3 linked regions of the Rattus norvegicus genome follow. The protein of the gene in region 3 purifies or fractionates together with the protein of the main gene of each other region. This does not show direct contact. Links are inferred from orthologs where the notes say so. Each region holds a gene or a part of one and is shown on either strand. Other genes may lie near its edges. The genes, in order: Nfkbia, Tnip2 and Rel.

Evidence for each region.
Region 1: the proteins of Rel (region 3) and Nfkbia purify together in Homo sapiens (affinity purification with mass spectrometry; 6 studies listed by BioGRID and IntAct, counting the BioPlex papers as one, with this or other methods). This does not show direct contact. The link is inferred for Rattus norvegicus from reciprocal best matches to the Homo sapiens genes REL and NFKBIA.
Region 2: the proteins of Rel (region 3) and Tnip2 purify together in Homo sapiens (affinity purification with mass spectrometry; 3 studies listed by BioGRID and IntAct, counting the BioPlex papers as one, with this or other methods). This does not show direct contact. The link is inferred for Rattus norvegicus from reciprocal best matches to the Homo sapiens genes REL and TNIP2.

Annotation. Positions count from the first base shown.
Region 1 is NC_086024.1:78,594,501-78,598,244, reverse strand, and holds the start of Nfkbia (NF-kappa-B inhibitor alpha), read left to right. Parts: upstream 1-1,172; 5' UTR 1,173-1,291; coding exon 1,292-1,518; intron 1,519-2,027; coding exon 2,028-2,136; intron 2,137-2,467; coding exon 2,468-2,678; intron 2,679-2,948; coding exon 2,949-3,037; intron 3,038-3,130; coding exon 3,131-3,391; coding exon of another isoform or gene 3,392-3,478; exon of another isoform or gene 3,479-3,744. UniProt on the Homo sapiens protein: Inhibits the activity of dimeric NF-kappa-B/REL complexes by trapping REL (RELA/p65 and NFKB1/p50) dimers in the cytoplasm by masking their nuclear localization signals.
Region 2 is NC_086032.1:80,451,636-80,455,379, forward strand, and holds the start of Tnip2 (TNFAIP3-interacting protein 2), read left to right. Parts: upstream 1-1,300; 5' UTR 1,301-1,364; coding exon 1,365-1,643; intron 1,644-3,744. UniProt on the Homo sapiens protein: Inhibits NF-kappa-B activation by blocking the interaction of RIPK1 with its downstream effector NEMO/IKBKG.
Region 3 is NC_086032.1:101,897,908-101,901,551, reverse strand, and holds part of Rel (proto-oncogene c-Rel), read left to right. Parts: intron 1-1,339; coding exon 1,340-1,444; intron 1,445-1,548; coding exon 1,549-1,761; intron 1,762-3,101; coding exon 3,102-3,170; intron 3,171-3,281; coding exon 3,282-3,368; intron 3,369-3,644. UniProt on the Homo sapiens protein: Proto-oncogene that may play a role in differentiation and lymphopoiesis.

The sequences.
Region 1 (3,744 bases), on a different chromosome or scaffold from region 3:
GGAAGCCTACTGGGTCTATTCTGACAAACTGTGATCCAAGTTGCTTTAATTTTCCCGAGTTACCTCACACTTGCAGGCTCCTAAGTCGGGATGGGGTGGAAGCAACACTTCTACTTTTGCAGGTAAAACTAGGGGATCACAGGCCCAAATCCCTTTCTTGAGGAGTAGCCACCCACAATGCTGCGGTCCCTGGGAAGCAAGGAAGCTAGTAGAACCAGCAGGTTTCAGATGTGGTCAGTGTTAGGACTATGTTGAGCCTCCTGCAGGATGCTTCAAAGTTACTTTCTTAGCTATGTTTAAGAGGCTAGGGCACTAAACCAGTTGTTCTGCTAGGCATTCACAATAAGCTCCGGCTTTATTCTCTACAAGTTAACAAGTTAACTCCAACAGCAAGAACTCAACAGTTTCTGTTGCATGGAAGCTACAACTTCTACAAAGATTAACACCTTGCATTACTTGGGGGAAAATGTGGTTCCCATATGGAGCTAGACTTTGCCCCTCCCCCGCTGCCCCTCCCCCGGGCGAGATTATTGACCCCTCGGAATTAATCTAGGGGTTCTCCAGGCGCTTGGATTTTGTTGTTGTTGTTATTGGTTTTGTTTGTTTGAATGCCAAAGTGTCTACAGCTTCGAGGGGGGATGGTGAAGGGCAGCCAAATGTCCATGCACTGCAAAGAGCCTGAAACACAGACGACCCGGAATCACTCATACGTCCGTCGTCGCAGAAATTTAGGAGAAGCGAATCCCTGCACCCAGCCAGCCATTTCCACTCTTGGGTTTTCAAAAGATCAAGAACCGGAAAGGACCTGCAAATTGGCAAATCTCTAAGAGGAACAGCCTAGCAGGTTTGCGTCCTTGGAATCTCAGCAGCTTGGGACCCCAAACCAAAGTCGTCGGTGGGAAACCCCAGGGAAAGAAGGGCTCTTGTAGAACGCTGGGGTTACTGAGTGCAGGCTGCAGGGAAGTACCTAGAGGGAGGGGGCCTGGTCGGGAGGACTTTCCAGCCACTCAGGGCTCATCAAAAAGTTCCCTGTACATGACCCCAGTGGCTCATCGTAGGGAGTTTCTCTGATGAACCCCGGCCCTGGGTTTAGGCTTCTCAGTCGAGGACGAGCCAGTTCTTTTTCTAGTCTGACTGGCTTGGAAATTCCCCGCGCCTGACCCCGCCCCTGAGAAATCCCCTGCCAGCGTTTATAGGGCGCCGAGGCGGCGCTGCCGAGCCCACAACAGTCTGAACTCGCCACCCAACTGCCAGCAGCCTGCACCCTGCACCCGCTCAGCTCCGCACAGCCATGTTTCAGCCAGCTGGGCACGGCCAGGACTGGGCCATGGAGGGCCCGCGGGACGGCCTCAAGAAGGAGCGGTTGGTGGACGACCGCCACGACAGCGGCTTGGACTCCATGAAGGACGAGGATTACGAGCAGATGGTGAAGGAGCTGCGGGAGATCCGCCTGCAGCCGCAGGAGGCGCCTCTGGCTGCCGAGCCCTGGAAGCAACAGCTCACGGAGGACGGAGACTCGTAAGTGGCGGCGGGCTCGGGCATGGGCACGGGCGGGGTCGCGCGGGGCCTGCACCGCGCTCGGGGCTCTGCACGGCGGGGCTGCGGGGCTACGGGGCTACAGAGCTGCGGGCGCCGGGCCGCCTGCCTCCCCATCCCCCCACCCCATTTCCCGGGACCCGGAGTAGCCGAGCGCAGGCCGGGGGCGGGGCGGCAACGAGGACGCAAAGTCCCCGCCTGGCAGAGTTTCCGCGCAGCCGCCGGGCGCTGCGCGGCCGCGAGGGGAAGTACAGGGCGTTCCGGGCGGCGGAGGGCGGGCCGGTCTGGCCGGCGCCCGCCCGGAGGGGGTGGGGCACGGAAAGTCCCTGGGCGGCTGCCAGGAACACTCAGCTCATAATAACCTCGCGGAAAACACCGCGGCCGCGGCCTCCAGAAACCCCGGCCTTGCGCAATCCCCCGCAGCCCGCGCCTCTCGGGGGCCCCACGCAGTGCGCTCACCACCCCTGGGGGGTTTCCCTGTCATCCCGCAGGTTCCTGCACTTGGCAATCATCCATGAAGAGAAGACACTGACCATGGAAGTGATTGGTCAGGTGAAGGGAGACCTGGCCTTCCTCAACTTCCAGAACAACCTGCAGCAGGTGCGGGCTTGCCCAGCTGTGCCCTCTTTGACCCCGTGGTGGAGTTAGATGAAGCTCAGTCGCCCCCAAAGCGTTTCTAAATTAACAGTCACGGTCCTTATCTGCCCTGGCCTTTTACATTCAAATTAGCCAAAGTCTTAGAGCAAGAAGGAAAATCCCAAGGGTTGGTTGAGGTCTTTATGACCCACGTAGGGCCTCCTGTTTGCCTGATCTCCTGTAGACAAATGGGAGGAGGGGATTCTGTAATAGGAGGTGTCTGGGGTTCAGGAAACTCAAGACTATGGGTTTGCTCCATGGCTTAGGCTCTTTCTGTTTCCTCTTCCATTCGTAGACTCCACTCCACTTGGCTGTGATCACCAACCAGCCAGGAATTGCTGAGGCACTTCTGAAAGCTGGCTGTGATCCTGAGCTCCGAGACTTTCGAGGAAATACCCCTCTCCATCTTGCCTGTGAGCAGGGCTGCCTGGCCAGTGTAGCAGTCTTGACTCAGACCTGTACGCCCCAGCATCTCCACTCCGTCCTGCAGGCCACCAACTACAACGGTAGGTCTGCCAGTCCATCCAGGGACGCAGAGAAGGGAGAGACGGGTCCCCTTGAGTCTAGCCTGGAGCTAAAACGCCTCAACGTATAAGAAGTTCAGGCAGTGTGGACTTTTAAAAAGTCTTCTCCATGATTCCTACATGACGTTCACTGAGAACCCAGACTTTTGAGTTCTTCAAAATTGAGGTTGTTTGTGGTTGTCCCCAAGAAAGGAGACGTGACTTGTGTGAGGATTGAAACAAGTGGTTACAGTTCCGTCTTATATCCTGCAGGCCACACGTGTCTACACTTAGCCTCTATCCATGGCTACCTGGGCATCGTGGAGCACTTGGTGACTTTGGGTGCTGATGTCAACGCTCAGGTGAGTACTTCCCCTTCCTCCTAAACTCTGCTGGGCTGGCTCTTACTGTGAGCAGATTTCCAGATAAACACTTCTGATTGCCTTTGGTTTCAGGAGCCCTGTAATGGCCGGACAGCCCTCCACCTTGCAGTGGACCTGCAGAATCCTGACCTGGTCTCGCTCCTGTTGAAGTGTGGGGCTGATGTCAACAGAGTAACCTACCAGGGCTACTCCCCCTACCAGCTTACGTGGGGCCGCCCAAGTACCCGGATACAGCAGCAGCTGGGCCAGCTGACCCTGGAAAATCTTCAGACGCTGCCCGAGAGTGAGGATGAGGAGAGCTATGACACGGAGTCAGAATTCACGGAAGATGAGGTGCGTGTTCATTACTGCCAGAGTGGTCCATTCTCCCTCACCACACCTAGGTCTGTTCTAGAGCTGTTCTGTATCATAGGGACCTGAGTTATTCAACTTCTCAGTCTCAGCTTGCAAAGCCAGGATCCCAAGAACGTGTCTCTGGTTTGCTTTAATAGCTTACCCTTGTGGGTTTCGGAATGGGGCAGTAAGAGGGAGTTGTGGGAATTGAACCCAGGCTTTAACACGTGGTAATAGGCACATGTTCTACCATTGAGCTATGTCCCCTGCAATAGCTTAGACTTTTGAAAGGAGAGAATTGGTGAAGGGAACTCCTGCAGCCCGGCGCCTGCGTTCTGTTTAGGCTGAGGAGG
Region 2 (3,744 bases), about 21 Mb from region 3:
TGTAAGGTTGGGAAGGATTTAAAAGTATGGCCTTTCAGTGGTAGAGCGCTTGCCTAGCAAGTGCAAGGCCCTGGGTTCGGTCCCCAGCTCCGGAAAAAAAAAAAAAAAAAAAAAGGTATGGCCTTGTTGGAAGAGCCATGTCACTTGGGCAGAGAGATTTTGAGACTTCAGCATGCTCTCTGCCTCCTGCTTGGGGATCAAGATATGAGCTCTCAGCTTTAAACATCTGACCCTTAATCCCACTTAAATGCTTCTATAAACTGCCTTGGTCCTGGCATTTTGTCACAGTAATAGAAAAAAAAATACACACCTATTCTCTAGTGTGATAACACCCCTACCAGGTAGGGAAGGCAGCAGCTGCGATGCATCGCTTCTGACTGGAGTTTTGGCTCTGAAGGCTAAGAAGGAGCTGAACATAAGTGAGCCAGGTCCGTGACTCCTAGTATCCATCCTATAAATTCTTGGTGAGGTCTGGCTTTGCATATAGTTTGATACTTGCAAGGGAGTGTGTTCCTGCAGGTTCAACCAGAGCTTGGCTGTGAGCAGACAGGATACTGAGAAGGAGACTGAGCAGAGAAGAAACACATCCTCACCTAGGGAGAGGACTTCCATGAGATCTTAGCAAGGAGCCTTTGAAAGATCTTCACGGAGGAGAGACTTCCCAGAGGAAAAATAGGGTTTGTATGGAAGCTGTGGGAAGGGAAGGGCCAGCGCCCTCCTGTCTTCTGCTTGAAGAACAGTTTCTAGCGCTAAGGCCATCCTAACTCGAATTTAGGGGCATGCTGGCGTTTGGTGGCTGGCTCTGGGGTCCACCATGTACTGTGAGCTCAGTGTCCCTGTATGAAGAAACACAAGTCAAGTCCCTGAAGAGGAAGGAGCCCCGCCAATGAAACCTGACCACACTTCATGTCCAATGTCTGAAGTCCTTGGATTTATTTGCTTTTCTTCAGCTGCTGTACCAGAGGATACCTAACCCCAAACCCTGGTCACAGATGGGATCTGACTCCAGGAAAATACCTCAGACGCAGGGAATAGGGCCGTGGTGACAAGTCTAAGACTGTGGGGCAGACAGCACCTAGAAGGGAGCTGGCACGTCAAGAGAAAGTGAGATCATCGAGAGAGAGGGGCGGTGACAGCTGTGGGCGGGGGCGGAGTCAGACTCCCAGCGGAGGGCGAGGCGGAGCCAGCTGTGTGCGGGGGCGGAGTCAGACTCTGGGCAGAGGGCGAGGCGGAGCCAGCTGTAGGTGGAAGCGGATTAGGCTCAGGGAGTGGGCGGGGCGGGAAAAGTTCCGGGAAGGCTGGTTATCGCTCCCGCAGCCTAGAGAAGTTGGAGACGCCCAAGTCCCCACGGAAGGCCCACAGCTATGTCGTCTGGGGACGCAAGGTCTGGTAGACAGGACGAGGCCCCGAGCGCGGCCTCAGCGCTCTGTGGCCTGTACCACGAGGCAGGCCAGCAACTACAGCTCCTGAAGGATCAGCTGGCTGCGCGTGACGCCCTTATCGCGAGCCTCCGCACCCGCCTCGCGGCTCTGGAAGGGCACACGGCACCATCACTTGTGGACGCACTTCTGGATCAGGTGGAGCGCTTCCGTGAGCAGCTGCGGCGACAGGAGGATGGTGCCTCGGAGTCCCAACTGCGGCAGGTGCGGGGAGGGCAAGAGCTGTTGCCCAAGGTGGCCTAGGGAGCTTGTTGGAGAGTGTGACACTGAGTCCAGAGGTGCGCGAGGTCTTGAGGGTCCCGAGGGTATGAGGCTCGAGGTGCGGGTCTGAAGAGCTCGAGGTCTGGAGCATGGTGGTTTAAGGGGTGCGCTGGGGTTTGAAAGGAGCTGAGTTATAAGGGACACGAGATCCTGAGGCAAGTGGGTCCTAAGGAGCTCTGGGTCCTGAGGTTTCAGGGTCTGAAGGGCGTGGGGATCTGAGGCGCAGGGAATCCTGAGGGATTGGGGTCTGAAGGCGAGAGTCTGGGTAGTTCAGGATACTGAGCACTTCGAGATTCATTCGTAGGCCGGAGAGTTAGGCAGAGTTGAGCAGGAGTCTCTGGGGCACAGGGTTCTGGTGAGCACCAGGGTGGCAGAAGTGTGACGTTTGAGGAGTACCAAGTCCTGACATTCTGTTGAGGTTATGAGCAGTTCTGAGGAACATGTGATGGAGGTTAATTTGGGACAGACCCCCTGGGTCTCTCGACTTTGGGGGTGCTGCTGTGGGAAACTTGCTCATGAAATTCCATGGGGGCAGAGGTCTGAGGAATGTGAGGGATCCGAGAGTGCAGGGATCTGTGGGGCATAATGTTCTGAGGTAGCCTTGAACACATGGTTCTGTTGGTAGTGAGCTTCTCCAATATGTGCTCTGGGTCCCAAAGGGGTGTGTAGCGGCTTTAATCACTGCTTATTACTTTGAAGAGACATCATGACCAAGGGCAACTCTTATAATAGAAAGCATTTAATTGGGCGCTGGCTTACAGTTTCAGAGAGTTAGTTCATTATCATCATGGTGGGGAGTGTGGCAGCATGCAGACAGGCTTGGTGCTGAAGAAGTAGCTGAGAGCTACATCCTGATCCACAGTCAGAGAGAGACACAGGGCCTGGTGTGGGCTTTTGAGACCTCAAAGCCCATCTCCAGTGACATAGTTCCTCCAAGGCCACATGTCTCAATCCTTCTCAAATAGTGCTACTTCTGGATGATGAAAAATGCAAGTATCTGAACCTGGCGCTTTCTTATTCAAGCCACACCAGTGGGGCACCAGGATTGACGAAGATGGAGTTCTGGGAGGGGTGGTGTTCAGGGTTCTGTAGGTAGGGTTCTGAGGGACAGACACTAGAGGCTCTAAAGGACATGAGTGAGGCATGGGGTCAAGAGGGTCTCAAGGACATCCTGACAGGCATTGCTCTTTGAGGAATGTGTACAGGTTCCATTGTGTTTGTGTTGGCTCTGAGGGGGCAGTGCAGGTCTTGGTTCTTGTGTTCTGTGAAGGGAGGTCTTCTGTGGAATGTGAGTTTCTGAATCCTGTGCGGAGTGCCAGGAACCTGAGAGATGCATAGGGTTCTGAAGACTGGGACTCTGAGAGAAAAGACCCACGTTTTTGGTTGGTATTTGGTGTTATATTTAGTATTATATTGGTGTTTGGTTGGTATTTGGTGTTATATTTAGTATTATATTGGGATTTGGTTGGTATTTGGTATTATATTGGAAGAAGCAGCAGATGCCAATCTGAGAATATGTAAATTCTTACTTGGTTCTCCTTGTCATTTGTTATTACTTGGTTCCACAAGCACACAAAACTGAAATGCGTGATAACACTTTCCTGTAGCAGTCGCCTCTATCTGACTACCTTGCCCCACATTTGGAGGAATGCTGGCATGTTATTCCATTTGGTCCATGGCTATCTTGGTTTTCCCCCATGGACAGTAAGCCTGACAGGGGAGCAGCTGGTAAAAGATAATATTGTTTCCAAGATTACCACTGCAACTAGATTTCTTTTTCCTTTTCTTGTTTTCCTCCCATCCCTACACCAGTTGTACTAGGGATTGAAGCTAGAGCCCAGGCAAGTAAGTGCTGTACCATTGAGCTGCACACATCTCTGGTTATTTTCTTGCTTTTTACCCAAACTGGTCTTGAACTCACTGTGAATCTCAGGCAGGCAATGAATTTGGATCCGCCCTGCCTCAGTCTTCCAGGTAGATGGTATTACAGGCTTTTGCCACCAGGCCTGGCCACAACAAAATTCTAGAGGGGGGAAAAAAAGAA
Region 3 (3,644 bases):
CCTTCCTCCCTTACCTCCTCCTCCCTCCCTTCCTTCCTTCCTCTTCCCTCCCTTCCTCCCTTCCTTCCTCCCTCCCTCCCTTCCTTCCTCCCTTCCTCCCTTCCTTCCTCCCTCCCTCCCTTCCTTCCTCCCTCCCTCCCTTCCTTCCTCCTCCCTTCCTTCCTTCCTCCTCCCTCCCTCCCTTCCTTCCTCCTCCCTTCCTTCCTTCCTTCCTTCCTTCCTTCCTTCCTCCCTTCCTCCCTCCCTCCCTTCCTTCCTTCCTTCCTTCCTCCTCCCTTCCTCCCTCCCTCCCTTCCTTCCTTCCTTCCTTACTTCCTCCTCCCTCCCTTCCTTCCTTACCTCCTCCTCCCTTCCTCCCTTCCTCCCTCCCTCCCTCCCTCCCTTCCTTCCTTCCTCCTCCCTCCCTCCCTTCCTTCCTTCCTTCCTCCTCCCTTCCTTCCTCCCTTCCTTCTTCCCTCCCTCCCTTCCTCCCTCCCTCCTTCCTTGTTTCCTCCTTCCTTTCTACCTTCCTTCCTTCCTTCCTTCCTCCCTCCCTTCCTTCCTTCCTCCCTCCCTCCCTTCCTTCCTTCCTCCTCCCTTCCTTCCTCCCTTCCTTCCTCCCTCCCTCCCTTCCTTCCTCCCTCCCTCCCTCCTTCCTTGTTTCCTCCTTCCTTTCTACCTTCCTTCCTTCCTTCCTTCCTTCCTTCCTTCCTTCCTCCCTCCCTCCCTTCGTTCCTCCTTCCTTGCTTCCTCCTTCCTTTCTTCCTTCCTTCTGTTGCTTTTCTTTTTCTTTTTTTCAAGAAAGGGTTTCTCTGTGTATCAGTCCTGGTTGTCCTAAACTCCCACTGTAAATTAGGCTGCCCTTGAACTCACAGAAATCCACCTGCCTCTACTTCTGCCTCTGCCTCCCATGTGCTGGTATGAAAGGCCTGTGCCACCTTGTTCAGCAGCATGATTTTATATGGCTATGTATTAATTTTAAGAACTCATTAATATGATATTTAAGAATATATTTGGTTTGTTTCCTTTTTAAGGATTTATTTATTATTATATTTATATGAGTACACTGTAGCTGTCTCTGTAGACACACCAGAAGAGGGCATCAGATCCCATTAGAGATGGTTGTGAGCCGCCATGTGGTTGCTGGGATCTGAACTCAGGACCTGTGGAAGAACAGCCAGTGCTCTTAACCACTGAGCCATCTCTGCAATCCACCCTCACTGCTTTTGATGATGAACTATTACATGGAACCATGAGTGAATTAGCCCGTTCCTCCTCAAGCTGCCTTTGGTCATGGTGTTTCATCACTAGCATTACAAGACAGTGCTGAGACCCACTGTTTTTAATCCTCTGCATTTAGGTGCCCCAAATACTGCAGAATTAAGGATCTGTCGTGTGAACAAGAACTGTGGCAGTGTCAGGGGAGGAGACGAAATATTTCTGCTCTGTGACAAAGTTCAGAAAGGTATTTATCAGTTTTGTTTAATTGAATTAGTAATATATGTTTGATTAGTATATGTATTTTACTGTTCCCCCATTGTCATTATTCTTTGGCCTCTTATTCACTAGATGATATAGAAGTTCGTTTCGTGTTGAATGACTGGGAAGCCAAAGGTATTTTTTCACAAGCTGATGTGCACCGCCAAGTTGCCATTGTTTTCAGGACGCCTCCATACTGCAGAGCCATAGTGGAGCCCGTGACAGTGAAAATGCAGCTGCGGAGGCCTTCCGACCAGGAAGTCAGCGAGTCTATGGACTTCAGATACCTGCCAGATGAAAAAGGTAGACGAGAGCCGGGGGTGACGTGTGTGTGTGTGTGTGTGTGTGTGTGTGTGTGTGTGTGTGTGTGTGTGTGTATGTGTGTGTGTGTGAGGTGTGTGTGTGTGTTTGTGTGTGTGTGTGGTGTGTGTGAGGTGTGTGGTGTGTGCGTGTGTGTGTGGTGTGTGTGTGAGGTGTGTGGTGTGTGTGAGGTGTGTGGTGTGTGTGAGGTGTGTGTGTGTGCGTGTGTGTGTGTGTCTGTGTGTGTGTGGTGTGTGTGTGTGAGGTGTGTGTGTGTGTGTCTGTGTGTGTGTGTGTGGTGTGTGTATGTGTGTGTGTGTGTGTGAGGTGTGTGGTGTGTGTGTGTGTGTGGTGTGGTGTGTGTGTGTGGTGTGTGTGAGGTATGTGGTGTGTGCGTGTGTGTGTGTGTATGTGTTTGTGTGTGAGGTGTGTGTGTGTGTGTGTGTGTGTTTGGGTGTGTGTGGGGTGTGTGTGGTGTGTGTGTGTGTAGTGGTGTATGTGTGTGTTTGGGGTGTGTGTGGGGTGTGTGAGGTGTGTGTGTGTGTGTGTGTGTGTGTGTGTGTGTGTGTGTGGTGTGCGCACATGTGGGTGGACTGGAAACAGACTCATGTAGCCCATGCTGTCTTTGAACTCCCTATGGAGCTATGGATGAGGATGACTCTTAGCTGATCATGGGGATTACGGCAGTGTGCCCTGTGCACTCCCTGCTGCCTTTTTAAATGTGGTGCTAGGAATTGGGCTCAGGTTTTTATGTGCACTGGCAAGTGCTGAGCTGACCGAGTCCCAGTCTCTCCTGAAGAATAGATCGTTGTCTTAAGCTGATCATGTTCGCAATATTGTAAAATAAATATTTCAGTATAGTTTTATATATTCAGAATCTGTATTTTTTCCTTGGAAGTTTTCAGTTGTATGTTTTTGTCTTGGTTTGTTTTTTTCCTCATAGTCTTTGCATTTCTTAGGAGAGTTTGAATAATTGTAGAGTTCTTGAACTGTTAGATCATATTTTCTATGTATGTATTTTAGGAATTTTTTTTGTACTTTTTGAACCCTTTTATAGGTGGGAAATTTGTTAATCATAAAGCTGTATCTATTGTGGTTGATTGTGTTAGTTCATGTTAACTTTTAGGTGTTTTTAGGTTGAAAAATGACTATTTTTAAGCTTTTTAAAATTAAAAGTGAAGTGTCCTTTGTAACCGATATGGATGTATTGTACAATAACGTACTTAGAAGCCTGTATCACTCACGTGTATTTAAGACTTCCGTATGCCGCTGATAGAGCGCATGTTACGGTGGGGGAGCCAGAATCCCATGGTTCACTGCTTTCCCCTTTCTTTTCCAATCAGATGCCTATGGCAATAAATCAAAGAAGCAAAAGACGACTCTCATTTTTCAGAAACTGCTGCAAGATTGTGGTAAGAACACTTTGATTGAGTTATATTTAAGTAAATGTCTTCTACTTGCTTTATTCTGTCTTTAAATTTTTAAAGTGATAAACTATTTTTTCAAAATACATTTAATAATAGAAAAACGTATCATACCAAGTCACTTCCCTGAGAAAACAAGAGCTGTCCCTCTGGAGTCAATTGGAGAAACAAGATTCATCAAAAAAGGTATTCTATCCCTGTAAAATACTGTTTGTGCGTTTTTTAGGAATAACTTCTTTTTAAATCTCTTTCTTCCCCACAGTCCCTCACATTCTTACTGTTGAGACTGGGCCTCTGAAGGCTATGTTGGAACTGTTATATTTCGGGGATAGGCACCTGTTTATAACTGTTGAACTGTCGAACATGGCTGAGCGCCCTTGGTTGTGTACTGTCTCTCACGGCCATTTTAAAATGGTGCTAGGGTAGGACCTGTGGCATGCTGACCAACCACTTGCCGTGCCC